3 linked regions of the Notamacropus eugenii genome follow. The protein of the gene in region 1 interacts with the protein of each later gene in a pairwise test. Links are inferred from orthologs where the notes say so. Each region holds a gene or a part of one and is shown in the gene's direction. Other genes may lie near its edges.

The links.
Region 2: the proteins of TOP1 (region 1) and BTBD2 interact in a two-hybrid assay, tested with the Homo sapiens proteins (2 studies listed by BioGRID). The link is inferred for Notamacropus eugenii from reciprocal best matches to the Homo sapiens genes TOP1 and BTBD2.
Region 3: the proteins of TOP1 (region 1) and BTBD1 interact in a two-hybrid assay, tested with the Homo sapiens proteins (2 studies listed by BioGRID). The link is inferred for Notamacropus eugenii from reciprocal best matches to the Homo sapiens genes TOP1 and BTBD1.

Annotation. Positions count from the first base shown.
Region 1 is NC_092872.1:424,056,788-424,067,448, reverse strand, and holds the start of TOP1 (DNA topoisomerase 1), read left to right. Parts: upstream 1-6,339; 5' UTR 6,340-7,037; coding exon 7,038-7,070; intron 7,071-7,651; coding exon 7,652-7,676; intron 7,677-10,661. UniProt on the Homo sapiens protein: Releases the supercoiling and torsional tension of DNA introduced during the DNA replication and transcription by transiently cleaving and rejoining one strand of the DNA duplex.
Region 2 is NC_092875.1:64,659,400-64,670,082, forward strand, and holds the start of BTBD2 (BTB/POZ domain-containing protein 2), read left to right. Parts: upstream 1-5,465; 5' UTR 5,466-5,528; coding exon 5,529-6,139; intron 6,140-10,683.
Region 3 is NC_092872.1:177,035,931-177,046,129, forward strand, and holds the start of BTBD1 (BTB/POZ domain-containing protein 1), read left to right. Parts: upstream 1-5,600; 5' UTR 5,601-5,764; coding exon 5,765-6,219; intron 6,220-10,199.

The DNA of each region.
Region 1 (10,661 bases):
GCAATGTTCTAGGAGGGCAGATATAACCATAATAATAGCTAACAATTGCATAGCACTTACTATGTGGCAGGCATTATGCTAAACACTTTACAATTAAGATCCTCACAACAACCGTGGAAGGTAAGTGCTATCATTATTTTCATTTTACTGATGAGGAAACTGAGGCAAATTGAGGTTAAGTGGTTTGTCCAGGGTCATGAAGCTGGGAAATATCTGAGGTTGGATTTGAACTTGGGTATTCCTGAGTTCAGGTGTGGCACCGTATCCACTGTGTCACCCAATTGCCCATATGAACATGAAATGGTGGACAATCTGGGTCAGAAACATCAGAGAAGGAAATGGAATGTCCAGTTTGGGAAAAATAGCAAGCTGGCCAGTTTTGCTACAACATAAGAATGAATGAAGGGAAGTAGCATGAAATAAGCCTGGAAAAGTAACCTGAAGTCAGATTGTAGAGGGCACTAAAGGACAGACTGAGAAAGGTGGAAAAAGAGAAACATTGAAGATTTTTGAGCAAGAGGGTGATGGTCACCATCAACCAGGGTGACTGATTTGTGAATGGAGAGAGAATAAATGGTTATCGAACTGAGTAATAAAATGGACAGAACAACTGCATTTTACTTCTAATCTTGTCATTTTCTAGCTATGTGCTATTGACCAAGCCAGTTAACTTCTTTGAGACTCAGTTTCCTCACTTTTAAAATGGTAATAATGATACTTGCGTAAAGGTGGAGTAGAAATCATCCCATGTTGCTCAGATGTCCTGACTAGGAGCAAACATTTTTTTAAATTGAATCCAACAATCAATTGAATGCAAAGAAGTCGTGTTCTCCCTTTTGAATGGAAGCCAGTATGTGACAGACTGTCTTAAGCTATCTTAGAATTAGGAAAGAAGATTTTCTGAGGGTTGAGATTTAAGAGGTTGGAGCAGGCTTAGAGGAAAAGGGGTTCTGTGTTCTGGCAGATAAGAGAGATATTAAGCAGAAGAGAAGCAGAAAAGAGAAGCCAAGCTGATGGAAGGCCCAAGAAAAGTTTTTCTCTTTGTGCAACTTTCCTTCCCAGTGCTGGTCTATCCCCCCACACTATAATTCAATCTACCATCTCTTTACCCAAATACCTCCAATAATCTGAATTTTGCTTCAACTACAAAGAAGCCATCTATTACCTAGAGATACTTATAAGTTTAGTATATTTTTTAGGTTTAGCAGAGAACTCAACTTCTGCCTAGATTTTAGCAATCTTTCCTAATTGGGGAGCACCAAGGTATTGTGACTGAGCTCAGAACTTTTTATCTTAAAAAACCTCTCTGAAGTCAGGAGAAATGAATGGACCAATTATAGCTCTCTCAGCTCTAAATGAGCTAATTATCATAACAGGTATTAAAACTATACTACTTGAATGACTGGAAAAGTCAGCGGATCATGTAATGAGAGATGACAGAGGGACAGCTCAAATCCAGCACTGGTCAGTGTTCTGCTATGTATATGGAAATGATCCATTTTAGAGAGTGCTTAAATTTTCTAGAATTTTAAAAAATTAAAAATAAAATAGCTAGAAGAAGACCTCTCTCAGGTTGGGTAGGTCCCCTATAGAAGGTTTAAGGGAGGATTTGGACAAGAGTCACAGGAGGTGAGAATATGTAGCAGGGCTTCAAGCCATATCATTTTAGAGGGAGTTCATTTTAATAAGCATTTATTATATATAAATTATATTATTTACATATGTATAATTTATATTATATATTTTAATAAATATATTTATATGTAATATAAATATATATTTACTTATAATATAAATATATTTATATTATATATAAATTATGTACCAGGTATTAGGTGCTAAGGATACAAAGGCAAAACATAAGACAGTCTCTGTTCTCAAGGAGTTTACATTCTATCAGGACAAATAATATGCAGCCCTATAAAGAAATTCAAAGCTCAAAGTTAATACAAGGTAATTTGAGGAGCGGGAGCTGGAGCTGGATGGAAATGCACTAACAGCTGAAGGGGTCAGGGAAGACCTCCTCTACAGAGCTGGTGCTTAGCTGAGCTTTGACAGAAGCTAGGGATTCTAAGAGGCATCAATGAGGAAGGAATATATACCAGACATGGTGACGGTCAATGCAAGATGGAAAATGGGAGATATAATGTCACGAAGGAGGAAATCGGTTTGGCTGACCCATTAATTGTATGAAAGGGAATAATGTACAATAAGCCTGGAAAGGTAAGCAGGAGTCATATTATAAAGCGCATTAAATGCTTAACAACAGAAAAATTTGTATTCATATGTTTTGAAACACCAGAGAGCCATTTGAGATTTTTGAGCAAAGGAGTTTGGTGATTACGCAGTATGATTACAAATACATTGAAGTACAACCTAATAACAAAAAGTGGTTGTGAGGAAAGCGTTTTGTAAACCTTGAAGGGCCAGGACTACTAATTGGACCTAGGGTTTCATTCGAATAGAGAGTTTCTGTATTGGAAATGCAGGCTCCCTATCTGTAACCTATAGCCTTGTCTAGCATCATCCAGTCAGCGTATGTCAGAAGGAAAACCTTGAATTGATATAGAAATGTGCGTTGGTATTAATAGCATTGTAGTGGAAAATGGGATACCAAAGGAAGGGTATAGCACAGAACCTGAGATAAGAATAAGGTGGAAATGATAGTATATTAGCTCTTCTCAGCAAAACAAGGAGCTAAGACAATTCCAAAAGCCTCGCAATGGAAAATGCTATCCACATCCAGAAAAGAATTTTGGAGTCTGAACACAGATGGAAGCATGCTATTTGCTCTCCTTTTCTTTTGTCGTTTTATTTTGTTTCTTCTTTCTCCTGGTTCCTTCCATTAGTTCTAATTTTTCTTTACATCATGACTAAAGTGAAAATATGTTTAATATTAATGTATAAGTAGAGCCTATTTCAGATAGCCCGCCATCTTGAGGAGGGGGGAGAAGAGGGAAGGGGAGAAAATTTAAAACCTAAAATCTTATGGAAGTGAATGTTGAAAACTAAAAATAAATAAATTATTAAAAAGAAAAGACAATATAGTGCAAAGTGCACTGAATTGGAAGTCAAAAGACGTGGCTCTGGCTCTCTATAGCTGTGAAGTGCACACAAACATGAGTTGCTTCCCCTTTGTAAGCCTCAGTTTTTTCATCTGTAAAAAGAGGGGAAAATGGACTAGGAGATACATAAGGAAACTTCCAAGTCTAATATTTTGTGAATCAAAGAAGGGAGTTTGAAGCCAGAAAAAATAGTCATTATAATCTCTCAAATATGATATAAAATGTAACAAGTAGAAACTTACAATATTACTACTGGGAGAGGAAAAAACCAAAGACAAAAAAAACCCTCTTATGCAGGGCTCTAAAGAAGAGGAGAATTTGAGTTTGTAGTTCACAAAAAATCTAACATCAGCCTTTTTCAGTTACAAAATCTATTTTCAACCATGCTCTTGTTGGAATCTTACAATAAGGAAGCAGAATGTTGCTACAATAAATCCATGGCTTTGGTAGGTCTATGATTATTAATTCCATTTTACAGATGAAGAAGCTAAGTCTCAGAAAGGTAAACTGATTTGCCCTATGTCACACAGCTAATTAGCAAGGTTGGTACTAGAACCCTTTTCTTCTGGCTCCTGTTCCAATATACTTTCCATTCCACCAGGCTGCCAGCCAGCATCACTGCTATCCCTGAGGGGAAATGAGATGTGATTGAGTGTGGAAATATTTTAATTGTAAATACATATTTACAATTCTTCCTTAATCTACTAAGCAAGTAAAAAAATATTAGTTTTCTGCCCTGTGGATATAGTAATACATGAAGAGATTTAGCAAAAGAGACCCCATCCATATTCATTCATTCATTTCAGCAAACATTTATTAAGCACTTCTGTGTAGAACACTGAGTTAGGTGCTGGGGTGGGGGAAGGAGAGGAGAGACAAAATCCAGAGAAGACAAGGTAATTGCCTTCATATAGTTTAGAATTCTGGTAAGGGGTTAAGATACAAATTCATACATGTAATAAACTATGATTCATAATGAGAATATTAGAGAGGTAAAAATAAAGTATTATATGAGGTCTGAGAAAGATAGTAATTTACTGATCAGGGACTCAGGAAAACCTTCCCGGAGAAGGTTGAATTTGAGTTGGTGTTTAAAGGATGAACAGGAGTTCAATAGTGCGAGAGGACAGTCCAGGGATATCAAATAATGTGAGGAAAGGCACATAGGCTGGAAGGTACCCTCTGTACTCAGCATTTTCCTATTCCTGGGTCAGCTCACTAGCCTCACCAATAGCCTTGCCTCCTGAGGTCATGCCCCATGTAATTTCAATTACAGATCTACTGCCTTGGGGCACTCTTGTCCCTACTGGCAACTACTTTCACCAGCCCACTGTAACTGGCTACTAGGTCATGCCTCATAAGTATGATCTCCCCCACTTACTTTCCTCTCCAGTTCTGCAACCATGATCAAATCAACTCTACCTTTGTTCCTGGAAGGAGTATGTCAGGCTATTTCTCTACAGACCTACTCACTATCCCTGTAACTTTCTGGGTCAAAGTTCTCTTCTAGCCACTTGCCCCCTATATGTGTTGTCTTCCCTTATTGGAAATGTAAGCTCCATGAGGTTAGGGGTTGTCTTTCCTTTCGAATTTGTATCCCCAGAGTTTAGCACATAGTAAACTCAACAAATGCTTTTTCATTCCTTAGTTCATTCATTCCTTCTTCAGTGGCCCCCTGGGCTCAATATTGCCATGGTCAAAGCTCAGCCTGCTTTCAGATTTGGCTTTTCCTTGTTAAGGTTGGATATTTGCCAATTCTTGTTCAAATACTGTCATTTTGCCCTTTCAGGTCTGTGGAACACTCACTGAAATAGGAAAATACTTACATAGAAAGAAATCCAATTAAAACAGGCTCTTGCCATTTGTAAAAAAACAAAAAAAACCACAAACAAAAAAGCATTTATTTTGACAATAATCAATTGAAAAACGAATCTGGTGACCATCAGAACATTTATCACCCTACTTCATATTATAGCTTTTAAAAAACGGTTGACAGTCTATCTTTTACATTACCGTAGCTTCCTTCAGTATCTCTCCCTCTCCCCCTTTCCAGACAGCTATCCCATATAACAAACAGTACTCTTAAATACGATTTACACTTTAATACTATTTAAAAATGGGCAGCTAGATGGCACAGTGGATAGAATACCGGCCTGGAGTCGGGAAGTATCTTCCTGAGTTCCAATCTGGCCTCAGACAATGAGTAGCTGGGTTATCCTGGACAAGTAACTTAACCCTGTTTGTCCCAGTTCTTCATGTATAAAATCTTTACCAAGAAAACCTCAGCTGGGGCCATAAGGAGTCGGACACGGCTGAAATGACTCAGCAGCCATAGAGGGCTTCTGCCTTCCTACCTCCCAGTCCTGGAGATATTTCTACTAGAAAGTGGGCAATTTCGTTGATTTTTCCCCCCATTACTATAGCTTCCCAATACTCCTTTTCTCTCTCCCCCCACACTTGGAATACAACCTCCACTGTAACAAAGCATAGTGAAACAAAATACATACGCCGCCCGACTACACACATTCCTCCATTCCTCGTTCTGAACCTACCATCCATTACTTTTCTACTGAAAAGAGGCGTCTGTGTGTTTAAGCAGTTAAGTCCTTACAAAGGCTGGGCATCCTATTACTACTGTATAGGTTGGCCAAGGTCACCAGGCCACGTGTGGGCATCTCCCTTTCCCCTGCCACTCTTCTAGACAGAGGGGAAACAAATCAATGAGCAACGAACTGATGGGGTACCGAGGACCCCAGGAGCTGAAAGCTGGAGAGCTCCTGCCTAAACTGACGCCGTGAAGCTGCCTTCCTAACATTTTTAGGGGCTAGGCAGTGCAGAAGGGGAGACCTGCGCCTGGAGTCCCAGCTTTGACCAGCGGCGGGCTATGTGACCTTGGACAAGTCCGCGGTCGAGCCTGGATTTTCTCATCTGTAAAATAAGAGATCTGGACTGTGCTTCCTTCCAGTCCCACGGGGATGCCCAGGCAGTGAGTACCGGGGATGACAGGATGATGTGGAAGGGGCTTTAGAGAGCCCGAGCCCAAACCTCTCATTTTACAGCAGAGGATGCTTAACGAGGGAGGGTATCACTGCCCGGACTCGGGTATCGGGTGGGTGTTAGGAGTCAACTGCAAATTTAACGCTTAAAATTCAGGCCGGCTCAAAAGCTCCACCACTGGTGCCTACGGTTGCTTAAGGCTGCCCGTCTTTAAAACCCAACCACGTTGCCGGCGCCCAGCAACTCCAGAGGCCCCAGAGTGGCCAGAGGCGCCTGCGCAGTGCGCGGAGCCGGGGGTTGCGAACGCCGTGAGGAACCCCTTCAATTCCTAGCCCTATACTGCCGGCGGGCTCCAGTTCCGAGAACAGGGTTGGGGAGGTGGGGGAGGAGGGCTGGAGAAGGAGACGAGCCAGGACACTGGGTGAGCGGGAGAAGGAGGAGTTCCTTATGCAAATGAAGCTCCGCGCTGGGTGGGGTGGTTGGGGCTGTCTCAACGTGGGGCGTGGCTTGAGATGCAAATCAGAGCCAGCCACTTGAGTAGCGAGAGGCGGGTTCTCTTAGAGCCAAGCCAGTTTCCCTAAAGGCTGCTGGTTTTCTTCTTCTTCCTCCCTCCTACCGCGCTCCCCCCTCCCTTCCTGTTTCACCACCTCCCCCCCTCCCTCTCGCCGGGTCCTGTTTAAAAGCGGCCGCGCAGGCGCAGTGGGAAGAAATGCGAACTTAGTCTGTTACACAACTCCTCGGAGCTTCATTCCCTCCCCAGTGTCTGCTGCCGCTGCTGCCGCCGCTGCCGCCGACGCCGACGCCGCCATTCCCGCTGCTGTCGCTGATTCCTCGGCCTCACACTCCCGCCGCTGCCGCCGCCGTCGCCTTTGCTCCGGGGCCTGATCTCTTTGCCCAAGGCCGGGGTCCGAGCGGTCTGTGCCTCCTCTCCCCCGCCCCCTTCCCACTCCCGCCGGTGCCGCGGCTACGTCCGACATGAGCGGGGATCAACTGCACAACGACTCCCAGGTAAGCCGGCCTTCGGATCTCCCCGATCCCCAGGCCCGGCTGCACTCCGATGCCCCGAATCCCCAGGCCCTGCTGCCCCGGCTCCTCCGCCCCCGCCCCGGGGCCCGACTTCCTGGCGCCCCCGGGCCCGGCTCCTCTTAGAGCCGGCTTCCCACTTCCCCCTTCCCCCAGAGCCGGGCCTGCCTCCCCCGGACTCTGTCTCTCCGCTTGTCCTCCCCTTCCATCTTTGACGTTTGGCAGCCGAGGAGATGACAGGTTCCCCCCCCTCCACCCCGGGATGTGGAGGGTCTGAGGAGTGTGTGTTAGGGGGGAGGGGGTTCTGGCTTTGGGGGATCCGCGCTGGCAGGAGCAGGAGGGGGGGCGCCCTGGAGGCGGCGGGCTGGAAATGCCGGGAAGTTAAAGTTTGAAAGGGCGAGCCCCCTCCCCACCCTGCCCGGCTTTCCGCTCCCCCCTGGGGGGGGGGGTCCAAGCCCCTTGTGCTCCCCTCCCCCGCCAGAGTCTCGTCCCTCTACCCCCCCCCCCCCGACCCCGTGTGTCTTATTTATTGGTGGCTTGATTTCCTCTCCTTTCCCTCCCCACAGATCGATGCGGATTTCCGAGTGAATGGTGAGTGTGCGCCCCGGGCCCGAGCCGGGCCCCCTGCCCCGGGGGGTGGGGAGAGGCCCGCCCGCGCCGCCCGGCTCTCCCCGGCTGCGGATGGGAAAGGACAGACATGGCGTCCCAGAGACTAAGTCCCGGCTCCTCGCTCACCGGCCCCATTGTTCCCATCGAGCCGCCCCTACCGCCCCTTTGCGGGGCTCTGGCCCCCCGGGGACCCCGGCCCGCCCTAGAGGGGGCCGCCCAGGCCCCCGATCCCCGCCGAGCCGGCGCCTGGGAGCCTTTCCGGGCCCGGATTCCCCCCTGGAAAGTCGCCTTGTCGACAGTCAGGACTTAGTCTCTGCGCCATTTTCTTTTTCTCTCTCCTCTTCTTTCTGTGTCTGTGTCTCTTTCTCTCCCTCCCTCGGCTCCTTCCTAGAGCTGCCCAGGAGGAGCTTTCTGCAGAGAAAAGCCCTATAAATCACTGTCCTTACCAGAAAGGAGACAGAGGGGGGAGAGTTTGATTTTTTTTCTTCCTTTCTTTTTTTAAGAAGCTTAGATTATTTTTGTTCATTCTCCTTCTGCATCTGGTTTCTTTCTATTCCACCCTCTAAAATGAAAGGTCAGTTTTGCAACTGTTGCTTTGTCTTTTCTATAAGATCTATATTACCTTTTTACCTTGCATAGAGATGTGATCATAAATCTAAAACTAAATACATCATCTGTGGAGCATCATTTTTTGAGAGCTCTGAACAAAGAGGGAGAAGAAAACGTGTTCTAATAATATAGCCCCCTTCCAAAAAGTTTGTAAGTTGCTTGCCCTGGGAATTGGGATAAGCAAGCTTAGAAATTGTTTTATTCTAGTAACTACTTACAGACAATTAGCACGTGTGGGTAGAGCTTGTCTTTGTGGATTAAGGCACCTAGAAAGACTTGCTTTGAAAAGTATTTTAAAGTCCAGCCTCAAAATGATGAGAGGTGCTCCAGGACCTGTCTAGAATTGTGGGAGAGAGAAAGAGGATTTTGGTTGTCTGTTGGCAGATGTGGCAAATACTTTTGCCTCAGCCTTAAGCATTTGTAGGCCTGTTTATCCATTTCTTTTTCTTTGGGACTAAATAAGAACCACAGACTTTCAGGAGCTGAGGGCTATCTTGCTTTCTCTTTACGTTAGTTGCTTTCTAACCCTTTTCTAAAAAGTTAATGCATTAGTGTATTCGTTCTACCAGTTCCATGTACGAGGGAATTTTCCCTTTCCAATAAAAAAATGGTTCATTTTTGCATGCTTTATAAAGAGGAAAGTCAAATGGTGAAAGATGTGCACTATATAGCGTTTTGTCAGTTTCCATTGATTAGCCTTGGCACTATACCTGTCTTCAATAAGTATAAAATCCTGCTCAGTTTAGCCAGGGTTTAGCCACTTCAGTGGTAAAAGACTACTGCTGAGTTTTTGGATCTTGCACTAAGTAGTCCATCATGTTGGCCTGCTTAGTTTGAAACAGTCTTATGCAGCAGTGAAATGGGGCATTGAGTAGAAGACTGTTCCCTACTGGGAGAGAATTATAAGAGAACTAAGAATTTCCTTACTGTCCATTTAAGCCAGACCTTTAAGGGCTAAAGGGAAGAGCAGTCTGAAAAGGGAGACTAGCTTCACAGAAAACAATAACCAAAAGCAAAATTTTAAGTTGTCCCTTTTTTAATTTTTAATTGGGGTGTGATAATAGAGAAATCTGGATGGGAACAGGACTTATGGAAATTCTCATCTTTCTCCTCTTTTGGAATCCTTAAGGTTCTTCTAGTGTAGAGAAAAGTCCTTAGGGCTAAGAAGTTAGGGGAGTAAGCATGTATCTGGTATTTAGAACAAAGTTTTCAGAATAGTTTAAGGCTCCTTCTCCCACCAATATTTAAGTAGCTCCAAAGATTATACCTAGACTGCACTTGGGAAATGGTCTGTTTTTCTGAGGTAAATTGTGGGCTGCATATGGTGATTGTACTCCTAGCAATTTCTAATTCAAGTCTGCATAGTCTTTGCTACTATGATTGCAAAGGCCAGGCTCTATCTCACTGTAAACAGATTTTGTTCATGAAGACGACATATACATTTAGTTGCTCTGTCAAGAGTGATAAGAATACTTGAAGAGGTTTAGAAAAGGGTGCAGGGGAAGACTTGGTGACGTCACATTTTTGTGTGTTTCCTCATGTCTGCTTCTTCTCTAGTAGAGGATCCTTTTTGGTTTTGGTTCCCAAATTCACCCGAATTCCAAGCCTTCAATTTAGGATATGTTCTCTTTGCCAGCATAGTCCAAAGGAAGGACAGTAGCGTTAGCAACCTGCTTCTGTGTTACCTAGGTAGCTAGGAGAGTTATCTGACCACCTGTGAGAGTTCTACACTACATTGTTTTTTTTCCTAAGGGAAACATCAAAGTCCAATTACATGAACGTAATTGTTTTAATCCTGGTCTTTGAATTAAACAAGTTTGTTTAAGTTGATCTTTATTAGAAGTGGACTTAGCCCTATTTACAAATTAGGCAGTGCAAGTTTATACATATAACTTGGATTACCCCCTTCCTTTCCCCTCTTCACCTTATCAGGTATAAAAATAGATTCCATCCCATCATAAACTGCTTGTATTTTAGGTTTGTTGTTATGGTTCATGTTGATTTTGGAACTCACATATTTTATTCTCTGGCCTATTTTTGCTTAGAAAAGAATCTGTTAGTTATGGAAAGCACTATTGTTCTTTTATGAAGTTTACTGTAAAATAAGACTTCAGGTGCTTAAGGTATTAGAACGTCTTTCCGGTACTCTCTCCTACCTACCTAGACTTCCTAAAAGCTGGGGAAGCGTCTACATATTGACCATTGTATTCTTTTTGTCAAAATGGGTGTGATGGACATGTTGAGCTGAATAGTTGCTGACCACCAGGGGACCTAGAAGTGTCACACTACTCCACCCCCACCCTCCAGCTGATCACTGATATTTAGATTCGCTGTCATATAGCAAAGTAAAATATTTTG
Region 2 (10,683 bases), on another chromosome or scaffold:
AGCTATTAAAAACTGCAGAGAGGTAGACTAAGGACTAAGAAAAGGTCATTTATCAGTTGAGAGGTCATTGTTAACTTTAGAGAGCACATTTTCTGTAGAGTGGGGGGGGGTTGGAAATAAAGATTGACAGGGGATGAGAAGGCAGTAAGGAAAAAGAAACAGAAAATATAAAGCAGTGGTACCAAACTGAAATAGAAATAGGTCCACTAAATTGTACATAAAGATCCTTGTTGCTGCATATTTACTCCCCTTGGGAAGCTCATGGACTAGATAAGGAGAAACGACTAATACAATATAAGACAGTAAAAGCTATTTACAATTACAAGGTGTTATTATCATTACCTATGACCATAGAGCAAGATTGCCTCCAGCATTTGGCTTGCGTATGTGGAAGCATATTAAAAACTTCCTTTGCAGTTTCTTTAGAAATATTTCTGTAGTCTAAAAACCCTTTTCCAGATGTGTCTCTTTAGGTAGTTTAACTTCAGAATAAAAGTTTTTTTTTTTTAAATTGTATTATCTTATATGAATTTATAATCTGTCCCTCTCACTGAGTGTCCCCCTTCCCCTTTTATGGGACAACAACCTCTCCCCAAACAAAACCTTCATCATATACGTTTAGTTCAGTGAAACAAATTCCCCAAGGGGCCATGCACCAAAATATATATCTCTTTCTATATTTTAAGTTCATCATCTCTCTGGGAGAAAAGGTCTTCAGTCTTCTGGACTCATAGTTTATCATGACATTAGTCAAGAGTTCTAATATCTCTCAAAGTTCTTTTCATCTATAATGTTAACATTGTATAAATTGTTCTAGTCCTCATTTCACTCTGCTCTGGTTCACAGAGGTCTTCCCAGTTTGCTCTGTAACTGTCCATTTTTGTCATTTCTTATGGTATGCGCCATCATTTGTTAAGACATTCCTTAATAGGAAGATACCCCTTTAGTTTCCAATTTTGACTTTTTATGAAGAGTTGTTATATTTTTATGCTTATGTGTCCTTTTTTTCTTTCTTTGAGCTCTTTGATTTAGTAGAGTTGAACACTAAGCAGAGTAGATTTAGTAACAGCAGAGCTGAGGCAAGGGTATTCTAAAGTAAATCATGTCATCCATAAAAATTGATAATTGTTTCTTCTATTTTGTTTATTTCTTTAATTTTTCTTGTTTTATTGCTATACTTAGTATTTCTAACACTATTTTAAATAGTGGCAGTAATAATGAACATCTTTGCTTTAACTCTGACCTTCTTTCAAGACTTCTAACTTTTTTGAATTATATCTGATGTTTATTCTTGGATTTAAATAGATACTATTTACTCTAGTAAGGAAAAGTCCATTTATCCCTATGCTTTAAAAAAACTTAGAAACGGGCTTTGGATTTTAATAATTTTTTAATAGAAATGGATGTTGGATTTTGTCAAAAGCCACAAATCTTCAGGAAATTGAGTAGAAAATGAAACTTACTTTTTTCCTTAAGATCCTTGTCTCCCCCCAACCTCTGAGGTGATTGTACTTTGGCCCATCTAAGGGCAGTTCTTCTTCATGATTATAACATTCGTCCACAAGAGAAGGCCCCTTTGATTTCTTCAGAACACTTGAGAATAGTGGTCAAAAAAGGAATGGGATAGTGACTACTGTTCTGGAATGTCAACTTCAAACTTTATTTTAACATATTATTATATTTTCCTTGTTAAAGAGTTCTGTAAAAGTTACCTCGAATTATCTAGGGGTATGGAGAGGTCAAGGGCATGAGGAGACTGCTAATTTGGATGTTTCTTTGCTCATCTAGAAATAGCTTAGATTTAGAATAATTTTAAATTGCCTAAAATGCATAGTTCAGTACTAGTATTTTTTCTTCAGCACTCAACTCCTGAAACATCCCTTTACCCTGTGGGAGATGACTTGAGAATGAGGAGACTGGGCTCAGTATTATGGAAAGAATTCTGGACCTGGGAGTAAGGGGACCTGGGTTTTATCTTGGCTTTGCCATTGACTTGCACTATGACCTTGAATAAATCAGTTTCACCCTCTAATTCTCAGTTTTCTCCTCTGTAAATATTACTGAAGAAGTCAGTCCTCGTGTTACATAAAGGCACTTCTAGCTAAGGGTTCTGTGAGCAAAGCTGTACTGCCACGAACTTATTAGAGTCAATATATTCTGAGTCTCACACTCTACCCCTCCAACTTCATCTTTTGCTCCCATCCCCTCCCTGAGCAAAGTTTCAGAGCTAGAAAGGTCTTTAGTGACCCCTCATTCCTCCCCCTTTTGGCACAGTGTCTTGCACAAAGTAGGTATTTCAATATTTGTTGAAGGCACTGAAGATGTTTAGCCTGGAGGAGAGAAGGCTTAGGTGAAGCATGATAGTTATCTTCAAGGGTTTGAAAGAATCTGACACAGAAGAAGGAAGTTGTGACCTCAAAAGACTTATGTTTGATGTGAAGCACCCCCTGTTAGAGGTAGCCAGAAGAGGAATAGCCTATCTCAGGAGGTGGAAAGCTCTCCATAATGGGCAGTTTTCAGGTAAAGGCTGAATGCAGTCCTTCACGGTCTCCATCATCCAGGTCTCATTATAGGCCTGCTCTCTTCTACTCTTTTCCCCTCAGTGATCTTATCAGCTGGTTTGGGTTTAATGCTTGTTTCTGCACTGAGGATTCCCAGGTCTATAAATCCAGACCCTTTCCCTTTCCTGAGCTGCTGTCCAGCACCACCAATTGCCTGAGACATTTCCAACAAGACCGCTAAGCATCTCCAACTCAATTTATTCAAAACAGAGGGCAGTTGGTGGTACAGTGCAGAAGTCAGGAGGACCTTAGTTCAAATTTCACCTCAGACATTTTACACTCACCAGCTATGTGACCTTGGGCAAGTCCCTTAACCCCAACTGCTTCATTCTGAGTCATCTCCAGTTAGTCTGATGAATATCTGGTCACTGGATTCAGATGACTCTGGAGGAGAAGTGAGGCTGGTGACCTGCACAGCCCTCCCTCACTCAAAACAAAGTCAAGTGCAAGTGATGTCATTATTTCTCTGATGGCACGGTGTTCTTCGGCAACAAAGGATGAACACACACACACACACACACACACACACACACACACACACACATACACCTAATCCAAAACAGAATTCCTCTTTCCCACCATATTCTCCCCTCTTCCAAACTTCCCTGAGATTATTAAGGGCCTTACTATCCTCCGAGTCATTCAGGTTTAAAACCTCAGCATCACCTTCAAGTCCTCGCTTCCACTCATTCTATATATATACAGGCAAATTATCAAATCTTATCTTCTTGATCTCTGTAGGTAGGGGAAGCTCTATCTTTCTATATAGAGGTGGCATAGTGGATAGAATATTGTTCTTAGAGTCAGAAAGACCTGAGCTCAAAACTGAGGCAGTCCTGTTAAGTAACCTGTCCAGGGTCACCCAGCAAGCATCTGAGGCCAGTTTTGAACTTAGCGTAGTGACTGACACGGTAGATATTTCATAAATACTTATTCCCTTCTCTCTTATAGCATTGATAAGCCATCCCCTTCACTCCATTCATACAACCAATCCTCCCCTTCTACTTCCTCAGTTAGAAGGGGGGTGACCTAGGGGTCTATAGATAACAGAATTTTGATTGAGTGATAGAGACGAACATGATAAACCTCAAAGGAAGAGAGGTTACTGAGTGATGGAGGGTGAATGGCATCTGGGAGCAAGGAGGATTCCAGCCCCCACATCAGCCAGAACTAGAGAGAGTAGTCGTGGAGTCCATGTCATCTGAGGGGAGCCAGATTTTGGCAAATGATGGTAGATGGAAAGAAAAGGAAAGGAAAAGATTTAAGATGAAGGGAAGTTTGTTTGTGAAATAGGTATTCCAGAGGACACTATGTTAGAGCTGGGTGACGTTTGGTTGAAACTTTGAGGTAGGAGAGTTGCAGGCAATGGGAATGAGGAATTGGGGTGGGGTAGAGGGAATAGGGTTTGGATGATGAGTTGAAGGAATTTAGAATCACTGAGATGTGAAGGGTATGACCAAATGTAAGAATGTTCATCACTGAGTGGAAGGTGCCACTCCTCTTCCCAACAGACTGGAGTCAAATGCAGTATGAGATGGAAGGTAGATGGTTGATGGGAGGTAGAGCTGAGAGCCCCTTCTCCACTACTCCTCTTCTCTCCAAAGGCTGGAGATTACGCAAAAAAAGGGCATAGCTGGAGATGAAAGTCTAACCTACACAGCAAGAAAAAGAAGTCCCATTCCCCATCCCCTTTCCACACCCTTCTCTGTGACTTTGCACTGACTTGTCTCCCATGCTGTCCCTCTCCACTTGGGCTTCTTAGAATCCCTGGCTGAAGATTTAGAGAAAACATGAAGTTTTCTCTTTTTTATGTAGCTCTTTGTGCGTCTGCAGATTACAATGTGAACTCCGTGAGGGCAGGGATTGTCTTTTGCATCTCTTTGTATCTCCAGAGCTTAGCACAAAGCCTGGTACATAGTAGGGGCTTTAAAAACCTCTAATTTCTTGATCTACAAAAGTTGAAGAAATTCTTATACGTCCACAGGTTCAGCGTGGGCTAGGCAGACTTTGGGGTCACTTTAAGAACAGTTTTTGTTGTCTGAGCTGCCTCCTTTAAAATCAACAGATTTAGATCCCCTAAAACCAAAAGATGCAAGTGAATTCACATCATATTTGCTTGTAATAATCTTATTTAAAAAATCTGCTCATTTAAAGATGCAAGTGAATCCACACACTTGTTTGTAATAATAACTTCATAATTTTTTTAAAAACCCTGTTAATTTAAAGATCCAAGTGAATTCACATCATATTTGTAATAATAATTTTCTAATTTAAAAACCTTTATTTAAAGACCCAAGTGAACTCACATAAATGAAAGAGTGTTGCTGAGATGTGGGGGGGGCATACTCCATCAATAAGAATTCCCCACTTTTCTCCGCCTTTTCCTTTCTCATTAACTTAATTAACAACCATTTCCCCCCCTCCCGCCCGCCCTGGTCCCTCGTGAACCCCCTGAACGCCCTCAAAATGTCTTTCTATTCCCTCTCGCGATCTCCTGTGACCCAGGTCTGGACTGGAAGGGTTTCGTGGACATCGCCCTGGGAGCACGTGGCTCAAGTGCGTGGGCAGAATTTAAAAGGCTAGCTTCTCGTCCAGATCCCACGGTTGTGCGGCTAGGGAAACTGAGGCACGGGGCGGGGCTCCCAGAGAGTGGAGGAAGGGCTCGGCTTCAGCGCTCCGCCGGGGGGTGGGGGAGATGCGGCTCACCTAACGGTCCCACGAGGGGCCCCGCCCCTGCCCTTGCCCCGCCCCCTGCCCCTCCCCCGCAGGGTGCGCCAGTCTCCGGCCTCGCTCCCTCCCCCGGGCCGCGCGCCCCCTCGGTCGCTCCCCCCAGCCCCGCTCGGCCTCACACCCAGGCCCCTCCCCCACCCAAGGGTCACCCCACCCCCACCCCCCCGCGGCGGCGCGCGCCCCGCACTCCCTCCCCCGGCAGCCCCCCCTCGGAGGGCGCGCGCACCCCGCGCTCCCATGCGCCGCTGCTGCCCGGCTCTATTTGTAAACACTCCGAGCGCCGCCGCCTCCGCCGCCGCCGCCGTCGTCTCCGCCGCCGCCCGCCCGCTGCCTCCGCCGTTGCCGCAGCAGCTTGCAACCAAGATGGCGGCCGGTGGGAGCGGCGGCGGCCTGTCGTCCTGCCCGCCGGGGGTGGGGAACGGCTGCAGCAACAGCAACGGCGGCGGCGGCGGCGGGCCCGGGCCGGGCCTGAGCTACAATAACTGCGCCGTGGCGGCGGCCGCGGCCTCGGCCCCCGGAAACCCGGCGGCCGCCTCCGCCGCCGCGGCCTCCTCCGCCTCCGCCGGGCCCGGGGCCGCCTCCGCCCAGGCCGCGGGGAGCGGCGGCGGCGGCGGGGCCGGCTCGGCTGTGGCGGCGGCCCCCGGCCCGGGCCCGGCCCCCGCGGCGGCCCCGCCCGGGGCAGTGGGGGCGGCGGGGCTGGTGCTGCACCGCGAGCCCGTCTACAACTGGCAGGCCACCAAGCCCACGGTGAAGGAGCGCTTCGCCTTCCTCTTCAATAACGAGGTGCTCAGCGACGTGCACTTCCTGGTGGGCAAGGGCATGAGCTCGCAGCGCATCCCCGCGCACAGGTGAGACCCCCGGGCGGGAGGGCGCCCCGGGCGGGGGGCCGATGGGCCCCGAGGACGGGCATGGGCCCCTCCTGAATCTCCCCCCAGGATGGGCACGGGCCCCTCCCGAACCTCACTCCTCCAGGATGGGCATGGGCCCCTCCCGAACCTCCCCCCAGGATGGGCACGGGCCCCTCCCGAACCTCACTCCTCCAGGATGGGCACGGGCCCCTCCCGAGCCTCCCCCCCAGTATGGGCACGGACCCCTCCCGAGCCTCCCCCCAGGATGGGCACGGGCCCCTCCCGAACCTCACTCCTCCAGGATGGGCATGGGCCCCTCTCGAACCTCCCCCCAGGATGGGCACGGACCCCTCCCGAGCCTCCCCCCAGGATGGGCACGGACCCCTCCCGAGCCTCCCCCCAAGATGGGCACGGACCCCTCCCGAACCTCCCCCCAAGATGGGCACGGGCCCCTCCCGAGCCTCCCCCCAAGATGGGCACGGCCCCCCCAACCTTCCCCCAAGATGGGCACGGGCCCCTCCCGAGCCTCCCCCCAGGATGGGCACGGGCCCCTCCCGAGCCTCCCCCCAAGATGGGCACGGCCCCCCCAACCTTCCCCCCCAGTATGGGCACGGCCACCCCTAGCCTTCCCTCCTCCAGGATGGGCATGGGCTCCTCCCGAATCTCCCCTCCAAGGATGGGCACGGCCCCTTCTGAACCCCTCCCCCAATGTGGGTAGGCCCCCTTCTGAATCCCTTTTCCCATTGTACCCCAATCCCTCTGAGAAGAAAGCCGGGCAGCCCCGGGAGTGCCGGCAGCGCTCCCCCAGATTGGCTGAGGATGGGGATAGCCTCCATCCAAACCCTCCACCCCCATTCGGGGAGGATGAGGATAACCCCCATCCAACACTCGCCCTCCCCCCATTTTTCCCCCAGCCTCTTTGAAAAGAAAGATCTGGGCAGCCCTGGACAGCCAAAGAGGGTACCCGCAGACTGGGGGAGGGTGGGGATGGCTTCCATCTTTCCCCCCACTTGTGCCTTCAGCCCCTTTGAAAAAAAATGGGCTGGGCGGCCTTGGAGAATCAAGGAGGACTTCCTTAGACAGGAGGTGTATTGAGATGATCCCCATCTGAAACTCCTCGCTCTATTCTATCCTTCCACCCCAGTCCCAGCTCCCCTGACAGAAAAAAAGGTAGGCAGCTCCTCAGAGCAGCACCACCCCAAGATAAGAGAATGGTGATGGCCACTCATCGGAAACCCCCCAGCTCCTATGAAAGGAGAAAGCTAGAGTCCCCAGAGAGCCACAGAGGTATGGCCAGTTAGGACGGTAACGAAGAAGTCCTCTTATCAGAACACCTCCCCCACCCACCCCCAGAGCTTCCCCACCCTAACCACCCTGCAGGGAAAAAGCCAGGCAGTCCTCCAAGAGCAACCAAGGGAGCTTCCAGGATGAGGGCAATGATGATGTCTGTTCGTTAGGAGCTCCCAGCTACTGTACTCTTTCCCCTCCCCCCCCAAACCCAATGTTCCCCTGCAGGGAAAAAGCTGGGCAGGGCAGTCCTGAGAGAGCCACAGAGGGAGCCTCCAGTGATGAGCATGATGATGATGATGGCCCCTCCTCTGAAACTCCCCCACTGTGGTACCCCTCACCACAACCCTGCAGGGAAAAAGGGGCAGTCCTCAGACAGCTCCAGAGGCAGCCCCCCTCCCTGGCACTATTCCTAGCCCTCCTGTTGCCCTTTCCTCTCTTCAGGCTCACAAACCAGGCCCCTCCCCGATGATTGCCCTTTGCCACTTTCTGCAGATAAACCTCTCTGTGGTCCTTGATCATAGATCTCTTTCTTCCCTTTAGATCAAACCCTCTATACTCCCCTTCCCCAGGTACCTCTGGTTCCCTTTTACAGATCTGTTATTCTCAGTTGCTCCTGAACTCCCTTCCTCTGATTTCCATTTTCCCTGATTTCTTAACGCCCCCCTCCAACCTAGCCCTTTCTTAGAATATACCTTCCTATTTTAAGGGTGTCAGCTTCTAAATCCTCCCCTTTCCCATTGTCCTCCCTTGCCCTGTTCTTCACGTGTGGGTCCCTTTCCCCCCCCACTGACTTCAGAGCAGGTCTGTCATGCCCTCCTAGGGGGAAAGTTGTGTCTTTGTCTCTGAGGCTCCCAGTTTACCCACAGGGTTCCTACCTTCTCTTTTCTTATTGCCCCCTTGTAGAATTGGGATGCTTTCTGTTAGTCCTGGTTTCTCCCTTAACACCCACCCCCCGCCTCCCAGTTATTTCTCCTCTCTGGACTTCAGTTTTTCTGTTTGTAAACTGATTGCGTTAGACCAAATGCTCTCTAAAGGGCCCTGTGATTTGATTTTACCTTGAACCCTTAATTCCTAAACAACCTCTCAAAAAGAACAAAGGAAACAGTGGGCAAATTCTAGCTTCCCTCCTTTAACTCCCTTCTCTTCCCTTACCCACTAATGTTTCCACATCAGTTTCCTCTCTTCCAACTACATCTACCCTTTAGGTAGGTAGATAGTAAATATCTCTTGGTTATTTGGTTATTGTATAGGATAGTAGATATTTAAGACAGCTTCCCTGTCATTCCTACCGTCTTGTAATTACAGTCCTTACTGTACACACCTGCATTTAAAACGTCTTGAAGGCAGAGACTATACCATACTACTTTTGTATGGTGTCAAGCATGAATACTCAGTTGAACTGCAAACACTTTACCTTTTCTGGAAGGCGTTTCTTGGCCATCTGCCCCCTAGCAATGGGTCCCCCCTCTGAAATTTATGCTATTCATTTGAGACTCACAATTTATTCCTTTGTGTAATTATTTTCATATAAGACAGTCTCTTACCCCAATCAGATTGTATAAGGTCAGTGGCCCATGAAAATGGCAACTAGCACAGTCTCTTGTGTAATAACTTGGATTAGGGCAGGAAGGAAAAAGACATTGTAAAATTACTGACTTTGTTCTAGGCACTGTACTAAGGACTTTACAGATAATATCTCATTGGATCTGAATTTGGAGTCAGAAGACTCAAGCTTAAATTAGTACTTGGTACTTAATAGCTGTGTGACTTTGGGCAAATCATTTGATTACTGAAATGAGGAGAAGGGTGACGTAATTAAACAAACACCTTCTATTTACTAAGCTTGGGATGGATAGGGAAGACTTTTAGAGGTGAGACATTTTTAGTTCAATAGATTTCATAAATTCATAAATGTTTGGCACCTTGGAGAATATACAAAGAAATTTGTGGCATCCCTGGCCCCTGCCCCTCAGGGTTTACATGTAACCAGTGAGGCCTGAAGGGGAAGAAGTCAGAAATATTATGGCTTAGTAGGGAAAAAAGAAGGCATTAAGCAGTAGAAAATGAACCTTGTGTGTACAGGTCCCTTTCAGCTTAAATCCTGTGATCAATTAATATTGCCTGATTGGTATATTTGCAATTTAATAGTCTTTAGTTCTCCCCTCAGAAGATTGCTGTGCCCTCCCTGACCAACCATGCACAGCTAGAACTTTCTGTTGTGCTTTCAACTCAAGTACTCCTTTTCCCCTTTACCTGTGTACCTTTCTGTAGCCTTCTTGCCTTCTGCCAAATGGTTTTTATCTCCTTGGGGATCATTGTACAGGTATGTTTGTATGTTGGACTTTAAGCCAGATTCTTTCTTGTCATTCCTGATAAGCAATATTTTATTATTTCTTGAAATTATGCACCTTCTTTTGGGCCTCAGATACCTTTCTGTTTGTGTGTTAATAGACAAAGGACTTTCAGGAGTGAGGCCTCATGCACAGCTTAATGGGAAGAGATCTGGATTTAGAGACAGAAGGAGAACAAGCCAGCTCCTTGATCCTCATGAGGCAGGTGTGGCCTCCAGAGACCCCAGTCCCCAAATTGGTACTTTTTCTGCTACATGATGCTGCCTCTTCTTCCCCAGGACTCTAGAGGTGTGGTTATCTTGAACTGAGATTTCTACAACTTCATCCATAGATCCAGTATAGAGTAGCAGATGGGCCTTTGAAATGGAATTTTTATCCATTAACCTGGTTATTTTTTCAAGAAAGGGGTTGATGGTGTCAATGAAGTTGAGAAGGCAAATTGTAACTGTTAATGATAATGGAGGCCAATTAAACCCTCCTGTGTTTGAAACCAAGGCTTCCTCAAGGGGGAATCTTACAGGATGGAAGCCTGGAGAAGCTTCACATCGATTACTTTCTGAGTTGGAGGGGATAGGGTGAGGTGTTCAGAGTGGAATGTGAAGTTGCCAGCAATGTACCAGGAGTACAGTATAGCTATTCAAAGTGCAGGAGATCTGTGTTAATAACTGCCAAAAAGCAAAGTATGATAACTATAGGTTGTGGATGCACAGGGCCAAGAACTGCTGTCTAGGCAGTGATTTTAGTACTGCCTTCTGGCTCTGTTCATTCTTTATTGTTTCATTCACCAAAGAAATAATGAATACTATTTCAGCTGCATTTAGAGGCATCTTGGAATAGCAGAAAGAATGTTAGTACTGTGAGTCAGCAAACCTGGATTCTGATCTTGACTGCCATTACTTTACT
Region 3 (10,199 bases), about 250 Mb from region 1:
TAGACTAGGAAGAATGGAGGGAGACAACTCAGAACTCAAAATGAAATTTAAAAAAATGAAGAGAAAATACACAATTAGCCCCTTTAGGAAGGAAGGATAATCTTTTACTTGCTTCTCAGTCTGCTCTAGGCCTGTGAGCATGTAGTTCCTTCTTTTCTTTAGCTTCATGACCTTAGTTTCTATTTTTAACTACAATTATTCATCCTTTCACATAGAGGGCTATCTAATAGCAGCTGAACCTCTCTGCACTCTCTGAAATATGCAAGTCCTAAGAGTTGAAAAATGTCTTTTAAATTTTCATTCAAGATCTCCTCCTTGTCATGTCAAAAGATTACCCCAAACACCTCTCTGCCCACTTGTTTCTCTCCATCATTTGAAATTTCCTGACTTTTCTCTAAATTTTCTTTGCTTAAATATCCTGTTCTGATTTGACCTCACATCTGTTCTAATTATAAAACTAGTACACAGGGTGACATATATTGTTTCTACAGGCTGGTTTCCAAATAGCATGACATGCCAACGAAGAATGTATGACAAATAAATTACATCTGGGATAATGACAGGTTTCTTTTGCTGCAACACATGATGCAAAAATTCACAAGGGGGCAAAAGGAGCCACATTTTTCAGCTAAGCATGTGGTTTTCTGGTTCAGTGTTTGCTCAAAGGACACTAGCACTTAGATCTAAAGATTAGATTACTTAGATTAGCACTTAGATCTACAGTGCTTTGTAAATCTTAAAGAATAATGTCAATGTTGTTTTGGCTATAAAATTACTTTAGTATTGATTATTATTAGCATTTTTATTTTAGATTCTTATTAGAATTTAAATAATTATTCACATAGTCTAGGGCTTCTTAAAATTGTTTGTGTCATAGACCTCTTTGGCAGTCTGGTGAAGCTTAAAGACCCTTTCTCAAAATTATGTTTTTCAATACATGAAATAAAGTACCTAAGGTTACAAAGGAAACTAATAGTATTGAAATATCTAAATATTTAGAGGAAAAAAATTCATGAATCTAGTCCAACCCCTGTTTCACAGGTAAGGAAACTGAGAGAAGTGATTTGTCCAAAATTCCATGGCTAATTGCTAGCATAGCTCAGAGCAAAACTATGGTCTCCTGACTCCAATTTCAGGGCTTTTTCTCTAGGCTGTTTCTCAAGAATTTTGTTCACGATGAGATACTAAGGGATTGTTTCCTTTTTGTCTCTTCATCTCCAGTACCTACAGTAGGTGTTTATTGAAATGTGGGAGTTTAGCAAAGGAGACAGAGAAGTTGCTAGAGAAGTAGAACCGGGAGAGTTGAAGTGCCAGGAAAGTCAAAGAAATATAGAAATCAAGGCAAAGGGAAGCACATGGATAGACTGGTTTTCTGAGAGTGGCTTGGGTTTTTTAAACAGACAATTCTACCACAAGCATTTTGAATCTAAATTGGAACAAACTATTTACTTGCATGACTGAACATACAAGTTTTATTTTCTGCCTCTTAACGTGCTTCCTCATGAAGGCCAGATCTTACTCATAGGACAGATTGACTTGATGTTATTTGAGAAGCCTGGGTGATAATAATGGCTCACACTTACATCAAACTTTGTGAACTGTTGTTTGCAGGGATAGGCAAGCTTACATCAAATGGACAGCCAGAAATATACACTGACATCCCAAGATAGTAAGAGTAAATAGAGAAGCCCCAGTGTGATGGGAAAATCTGCAAGATTTATTGGAAAACATGCATGAAGAATCTTACGGGACAAAAAGTCACAGAGGGGTGAAAGTCTGAATAAGTAGAATACATCAGGACGAAATAAAAGATTCAATTCAACAAACAATTTAGCATATACTATGTGCAAGGCACTATTAGGAGCTGGACAGAAATCTGAAAAGCAACATGGTCCTTACTGTCAATGAACTAATATTCTTAGCATGGATAATGCCTGTAGTAAAATAACCATAATTCAAAGTAGAACATAAGGAGGGAGGAAAGAGAGGGAAGAAGAAGTCTAGACCAGAGGAGTCAAACACATAGTAATGGATTAAAATATAATTGGGAAACATTTAACTAAATAAATAAAGGTAAAATAAAACATAGATAATATTACTTAAAATGAAAGACAATAGGCAGCCCACAGGAATCTTTCTGAACAGATCAGGGTTCCCCTCCCCTCATTTCTATTTGAGTTTGACTCCACTGATCTAGACAAAAAATAAGAGAAATTTGAAGGAGGGGAGAGGTCGTTTTCTGCTAGGGGGAATCAGGAAATTTCATGGAGAAGTTCATTAGCCAACAGGCATTTATGAAACATTCACTATGTGCCAGGCACCATGATAAGAGCTGGGAATTCAAAAAAAGACAAAAATCCAGTCCTTGCTCTCAAGGAGTTCACATTCTAATGGGGGGGGCGGGGAAGAAACAATATGAAAATAGCTATATATAGATATATATATGTAGAGAGAGAGAGAGAGAGTGTGTAAATAGAAGTTCATCTCTGAGGGAAGACACCAAGAGTTTGGAGGTGGGGGGAGGGATGGTATGGAACATGAGGAGGTGAAAGGCTTCCTGTAGAAAGTGGAATTTGAGCTGAGACTTGAAAGAAGCCTGGAAAGCCAGGAGGTAGAGATGAGGAAAGAAACTATTCTAGGCATGGGGATCAGCCAGTGAAAAAGTCTAAAGGAACATCAAGATGGCCAGTGTTGCTGGATGGAAGAGTGTGTGAAGGGGAGTAAAGTAGAAGACTGGAAAGGTAAGATAAGGTTCCAGGTTTAAACTGGGCAAAGCCACATAAAAGGATTACCTTCCAGGCTTGGAGGACTGCGTGGAATTGAGAAAGTTCAGGATGATGAAATGAATGAATGAGTGAATAAATGAAAAAAATAAGAATTTATTGCTTTCTAAGTCTTGTACTAAGTGCTGGGGATGTAAATATGAAAAAAAAAGGCAGTTTTTTTTTTCCTCAAGGAGTTCATGTTCTAAGCAGAGGAGACAATGGATGCAAGAATCACAGATTCAGGGAGGAGGCAAAAGTCCTAAGATTGCTCCAGCTGGTAAGATGACAGTGTGTAGGGCTTTTGAGGGTACTCAAAAGCAGGACAGATTGTAAGGTTCAGTGAACTTTAGGACAAAGTGGCAGGGTAGATGGTGGTCTTTTCATCTTCCTACAAGGATTGTAGTTGGTTACTCCCAGCTCAGTGGTATGAACATCCATGTGTTTCTTTCTACTTGGCCAATCAGCACCTTGGGGAGAGGCTTGTGGACTAGTTGACTAGAACACAGAGTTTGTGAAAAGGAATAATGTGAAACAAAGCTAGAAAGGTAGGTTAGAGACAGATTATGGAGGGTCTCAGATGATAGGCTAAATGATTTACATTTTATACTGGCAATGAGAAGCTACTGAAGGTTTTTTTTTGTTTTTTTTTGTTTGAGAATATGAGTGCCATGGTCAGATTTCTGCATTAAGAATATTATTTTGGCAGCTTTGTGAAGATTGGATTGAAACTAGGAGGGAGCAGAAGGAGAGAAAGACCAATTTGGAGGCTATTATAGTCATTCTTATAAGAAGTAATGAGGGCCTGAATTAGAATAGTGATTATGTGAATGGATATTTTTGAAATATAATTCATACATTTTGGATTACGTTTGGCAATTGATTGGATGTGAGGAGTGGGGAGAGGAAAAGTACTATCAACAGAAATAGGCAAATCGAGGGAGGGAACGGATTTTGGGGGGAATGCTGATGAGTTTTAATTTGGTGCTTGTTACTTTTTAGAGGCCAGAGTATATGTATATATGTGTGTGTGTATTCTGTAAGCTCCATTCTCCATTTTCATAATGTAAATATATGTATATATATACCCTAGATATCTATATACACATGCACATACATACATGTGTTTATATGTAGATATCTATATAGACCATAGATATCTTTATACACACACACATTTGGTAAGTTCCCTTCTCCTTTTTCAGTAGATCTATATCTATTTCCAGATATTAGCCTGATTTATAATATATACATATACATGTATGTATAATATGTATGATGTATAACATGTATGCATACACACATATATATCTCAAAAGTCATCTGTATAGAGGTAGTTGTAAGTCACCCTCTGAACAAGGGTGAGTTTATGAAGAAGAATATATATAGACAAGAAAGTTGTCAAAACTGATCATTGGGGGACACCCATATCCTGGAAGAGGGAAAAAAGTCAACCAACAAAGGAGCGAAAAGGAAGGAGACCAGGAGGTAGCAATGTCTTGGAAATCAAAGGAAAAGAGCATTAACCAAAGGGAAGTTAATTCAGTTCAACAGATTTATACCTACTGTATGCTGACGTTGGTTCTAAGAACTGCAGAAGACAGATTCTCAGTCTTCTTGGAACATACAGCAAATAGGAAGATAACCTACATATCACGGCATTTATAATACACTATCACAGTACGTACAAATGCTACATGGAGTGGTGGAGGTTTCAGGGAGAAGGTGCTTTAAAGGACAGGAAAAGATGACTGGGGAAAGAGGGATTCCAAGCACCCAGGACACAGGAACAGGATTTTGGGGGACGGGCAGAGTTTGCTGAAAAGTAATGAGTTATGGCAAGAAGGCTTTGAACTTCTAACAGTGAGGATGGTTAAGGACACTGAGAACTGATAAGAAAAGGCTAGGGGATGCAGTCAGGAAAGATCGTTGATGAGGAGGGAATGGTTTCAGCAGATCAAAGGAACAATCCGGTGTGAAGGTGCGTAAATATGATCATTCCGTTGCCTAGGAGTCTCGAGGAGGTTGAGTGACTTGCTCAAGGTCACACAGCCGAGCGTGGGGGGGGGGGGCAGTTTCTGACTCAGAATGTTCGCAGAGAGCTCTAAAAGGCCCCCGTTACAGATTCATCTTCTTCTTAGCATGAGAGGACTCCCTGCGGGGATAATCCCCGGTCACCCGGGGATGGCTTGAAGTCGGCTAGTGGTCAGCCCTCCTAATAAAGAACGGACCGCGCACGCGGCTTTGCAAGGCTGACAAAGCGCTCGCATCCTCAGCTCGGCCGAGCCTCACGCCTCAGGGAGGTGAGCACAGATGGGGGGCTCGGCCGCTCCAGCTTTGATCCTCGGAACCAGGCTCGGGCGGCAGGCAGGGGCGGCGCGGCCCGTGGGAATGGGGGCCGCTCTCTGGGGGGATGAGGCCGGGTCGGGGCCGGACACCCCCAGGGCCCATTCCTCCTGCGTCACCAGCGTGGCCGACGCAGCACGGTCCGGATCTGTTGAGGCCGGGGTGCCCACTGGCGCTCGCTTTTCCACCCGGCCTCCCAAGCGGGCTTGGGCAGGGGATACCTTCGGTGGGAGGGGCGCCTTCCGCCAGGGGGCGGGGCGACGTGCAGGGACCAGCGCGCCGCAGTTCGAGGCTTCTGCGCAGCCGCGGCTCCTGGGCAGCTTGGGGGCGCCCGCGGGCATCCCCTAGCGGTGCCTTAGGGGCGCGCGCCGCCCGGCTCCTTGCCCCTCCCCCGCCCCTCCTCCGGTCGGCCTCGGGGGCGCGTGCGTGGGCGCCCCTCCCCCCTCCCGTGGGTAGCGGCCGGAAGTAGCGCTCTCCCGGAAGGTTCGGAAGCAAACGCAACGGAACCGGCTGCGAGAGGCAGGCTCCTCGCAGCAGCGGCCTGGGCCCGGGACTGGGCCCGACCGGGCCGGAGCGGGACATGGCAGCCGGGGCCCGGACCGCCTGCTGAGCCGTCGCGCGGAGCGCAGTCCGGAGGGTTTAGCGGCGGTTAGGGCATGGCCGGAATCGGGGTCCCAGCTCCGGGGGACTCGCTCCTGGGCCCGGAGGCCGAGAAGGGCGCCGGGGCCTCCTCGCAGCCGCCTCTGGCGCCGCCGCCGCCCCCGCCGCCCCCCCCGCCGCCGCCGCTGTCGCCTCAGGGCCCGGCGGTGCCGGTGCCCCTGCAGCGGGAGCCGCTGTACAACTGGCAGGCCACCAAGGCGTCGCTCAAGGAGCGCTTCGCTTTCCTCTTCAACACGGAGCTGCTGAGCGACGTGCGCTTCGTGCTGGGCAAGGGGCGCGGGGGCGCGGGGGCCGCCGCCGCCGGGGGCCCGCAGCGCATCCCCGCCCACCGCTTCGTGCTGGCCGCCGGCAGCGCCGTCTTCGACGCGATGTTCAACGGCGGCATGGCCACCACCTCGGCCGAGATCGAGCTGCCCGACGTGGAGCCCGCCGCCTTCCTGGCGCTGCTGAGGTGAGTGGGCCCCCGGGGCCCGCCGGCCGTGGGCGGCCTTGCCCGGGGCCGGGGCTGGCGCGGGGCGGGCTGGCACGGGGCGGGCAGGGATATCCCCTGGTACCTTCCCAGAAGACCTCTGACCCTCCTTTCCCGTTGTGAGCGAGCCACGTTCGCTGTACCGAGCTGGCGAGCGAATGTGCCAACCGACGCCGGGTGGCACCTGTGCGGGCCTGTGCCTGTTGGGGCGGGCCCCCTGCCGTCAAGGTCAGACTGTTTTGTACACGGGCAGCCGCGAAACTGCTCCCAAGGTGACGCCGTCATCTCCTGTTGTCTTGTCATTTTGGAGCATCCTCGAGGACGATTTCTGATTAATCAGAGTCTAAGTTATTAAACATTATCTAACATTTATGACTGTGCCAGCCCCAAAAGAGGCAGTAGATAGCCCCTGCCTTCAAGGAGCTTACTGTCTAACGTGGGAGAGTACATACAAACAAGTATGCCAAGCGAGTTATGTAACAGTGACTCTAAGTATGAATGAACGGTAGTATTGATTTCTGTCAGACTCCTGATCCGGGTATTTTGGCATTTAGATAGGATACGGAAGCTTACTGGGGGAAGTGGAGCCCCCACTCTGTTTATTGCCAGAAAATCCTTTCCTGATTACTCTCTAAATAAATTGCATTACATCTATCGTGTTCCCCATAATTTGTGCACCATTAAATGGAAGTAAATGAGGGTGGGGAACGTTATTTCAGTTTCCAGTGCTTTGGAAAGTGACTTTCAAGATGTTTTAGGCAAAAAAATAAATATGATGCAGTTTCATTTTTTTCATTGAAATTTACAAGTTAATAGTTTGTTATAAAATTATGCGGTCAAAGCATTTGGAATCAGAGTAAATCTTATACATATTTTAGCACAGTACCCTCATTTTACTGGTGAAGTACCTGAGGCCCCAGGGAGGTAAAGTGGCCAGGTTACAGGTAACAATTAAAAAAACTGGCATTTGAACCTTTGCCCTTAGGAGGATTGGGATTTATTCTGAAAAGTATGACTTATTTTGAATTTCAGGAGAATAAAATGATACACTCTCTTATCACTGTTAGTTTGAGATGATAAGTTAGCTAGCCTTTGTTGGTGAATAAATACTTGTTGAATTGAAAAAGTTGGGCATCTTTCTTCAATAAGGTTTTCAAGATCTATAACTTAAATAGCTGCAATTTGCTTGAAATAACTTTAATTTTTAGTTATTAGGAGTATAAAACCTTTAAAATGAGTAAATTTGACTAATGTTGTAAGCATTTAATACATTACATTAACATTTAATTTGTGCTATCCCAAGTTTCAGAATCAGTGTAATTTTTCATTGACTTTTGGGGGTAAAATTTCTCTGTTTAGGTGCAATGTAAAATTTTATAGAATCATACTTTTTTTAAGAGCTTGAAGTGATAAAGATTATTTAGTCCCAAGGAAACTGAATTGGTTAATGAGTGAGAAGAAGAGGGAGAATGCATTGGAATTCCCCACCCCCACTCCCTTAATTCAAAGCATTTTCATAGTATTGGTTTTCAGTAGAAAATAGAGAGACTATTTTGTTTTAACATTTTAACTGTCATTTCCCGTAAGTATTTTTATTTTAATACACAGTATTAACTGATTAGAAGTCACCTCACATTTTACTACATTATTTTTGGCACTTTTCTTCCATTCATAACAGGTATAAAGAATTTTCCAATTTTCCCTGGGAAATATTTCCAGAAGTTTGTAGTGTCAGCTTTTGGTTGACAAAATGGGTGTGAGTTCCAATATTTTGGTGTTCTTAGTCTCTGTTTCATTACTGACTTAGCATGTTACTGTTCTACTGTTCTATTTATCTGTCCAGTTTGGTGTCAGTTTTATGAATATTTGCCCTGGTGAATTGTTTTCACATAAGTATGGTGCGGTTCTTAGTGTTGGTTTGTATGTGATTTATGGTTGCTTATCCCATATACTTGCATTTGGATATATGGGTCCTGGGTCGTATATCCGTGTCCATGTGTGTATGTATTTACTAATGTATGTATTTACTAGTACATAGTAGTGTTTCTTCTGTTGCTGGTGATGTGTCATTTACTCTATCTTGTACCGTTCTCCTGGGTTTTTCATCAAAGGATGATTTATTATGTATCTAGCAAGATCTGTTTTTGATCTATGGTTATGACTCATAGTTATTATTTGCTGATAATTTGAATCAGCTGATTCAGAGGCATTTTCTGTTCCCTCTGGTGTTGAGTGATATAGCTGGACCACTTCTGCTTGTCACAAAAGAATATTCTGGAAATTTAAAGCCAAATGTAAATTCTCTCTGCCCATAAGCTTTGCTGCAGTAGTTTTCTGTTGTGCCTCCCACTGTCTATCCCAATTTTTGTTGCATTTCTACTCTGTCCTTCTGTGTATTTAGGTTTTATTTGTGTACTCTCCTAACTAATTGCCAAATTTTTGTTAGTCTAGTTGGTTTAAAGTAGTACTTTGCAGTAGGAAAGTGATCTCCTGTTATCATTTCAGTGGGTGTTGTGTTTTCTATAGTTAGAAATGGTGCTTCTGCTCTGTCTACATCTAATCTTGATGTTGGGTTAGTTGTTCCTGTACCTTGGTTAAAACTGTGAAGTTGCTTTAGTTGGTTGGTTTCCCATGGTAAGTATCCTGGTGTTTCTAGTGTCATGTTGTCTGATCCCCATGGATTTGTTGTTTGTGTCTTTTGCTACTTGTAGTGCTGCACTTAGATCATTATTACATTGCTTTGCTTTTGGCCTTTTAGTTTCGTTTCAGTCACAGTTGTAATTGCTAATTTAGATATTTCTTGTTCTAGTTCTAATAAGTTTAAAGTGTTGTTAGGTGTTGAAAATCTGCTGAATTTAGCCATCCTCTCCATCCGTTAGCATTGGTCAGCGCTCATGGTGTTAGGATTTGTGCATGCTTGCTGTCATTTTGTATTGATCTAGGTGAGGTGAATGTTGTTGCATTGGTAGTGGTACGACTCACTATCGTACGTTTAAGTGAATCTGCCTGCCAGCATGACGTGTAATGATAACAGTCTTCCTCATGTTTCTGTTCTGTTGTGTTAAAAAGTCCCCAGTACTTACACCTATTTCCCCACTTCCCTTAACCCTCTCCCCTCCATTTCCTCCAAGTCATGTAGTAACTGCATCTTCACTTACTGCGTTAATGTTGCTTTATTGGTTCTGTTATTGCTGTGAAACTAGCTGTTGCTTAAAGTTTTCTTGCTCAGTTAACAAATATATGTCATGGTGGCTGTCTTTACCACCTGATTGGTTAGGTTTTTTTTTAATTTTAGAGTGTTCAGTTAGTAAAGTTTGTCTTTTTACCTTGTTAGGTGTTGGTGCTGTTGGAAACTGCTCTTTTTGCTTTGAACACTGTTTCCTATCCAGCCGTCTTAAGTCCACAGCTCTTTCTTTTGCTTCAGTGAATTTGTCATCTGCTGGATTGTAGATGTAAGGGTTGACTCCTTGTTCATTTAGAAGTTTGTATTGTTTGATAAGTTGTTTAGCTGCTTAATCTAATGGATTTGTTGGTCCTAGGTAGTTGTATCTATGTGGTGTGTAACCTGAAATTGAAAATAGTTGGTTAACTTCTTATTTATTGGTATTGGTTGAATATGTTGCTTTGCTTACCTTTTCTAGTTTGTGTTAGGCATCAAGCTGTTCTGAGAAGAACCACTCCCAGTAGAAATCCTGAGTCAGTGTTGGCAATGAAATCTCTGTTTCTGGTGGTTCAGGTCCTTTCAGGCTGCCCAAAGGTTGCAGCTGTAGCCTTCAGGTCCATAGCGAGAACTGCTTAGATGTCTTGCCTGGCTTTAATAGCTCTAGACATGCCTTCTCTCCAGTCCTATTTTGGCACTGCTTGTCACCATGTGATATAGTTTTTCATGATTGTTTCCAGACTGTTACTAAGTATTTGAAGATATTTGGTATTCCATTGTTATCTATTAGTCCCAAGTCACC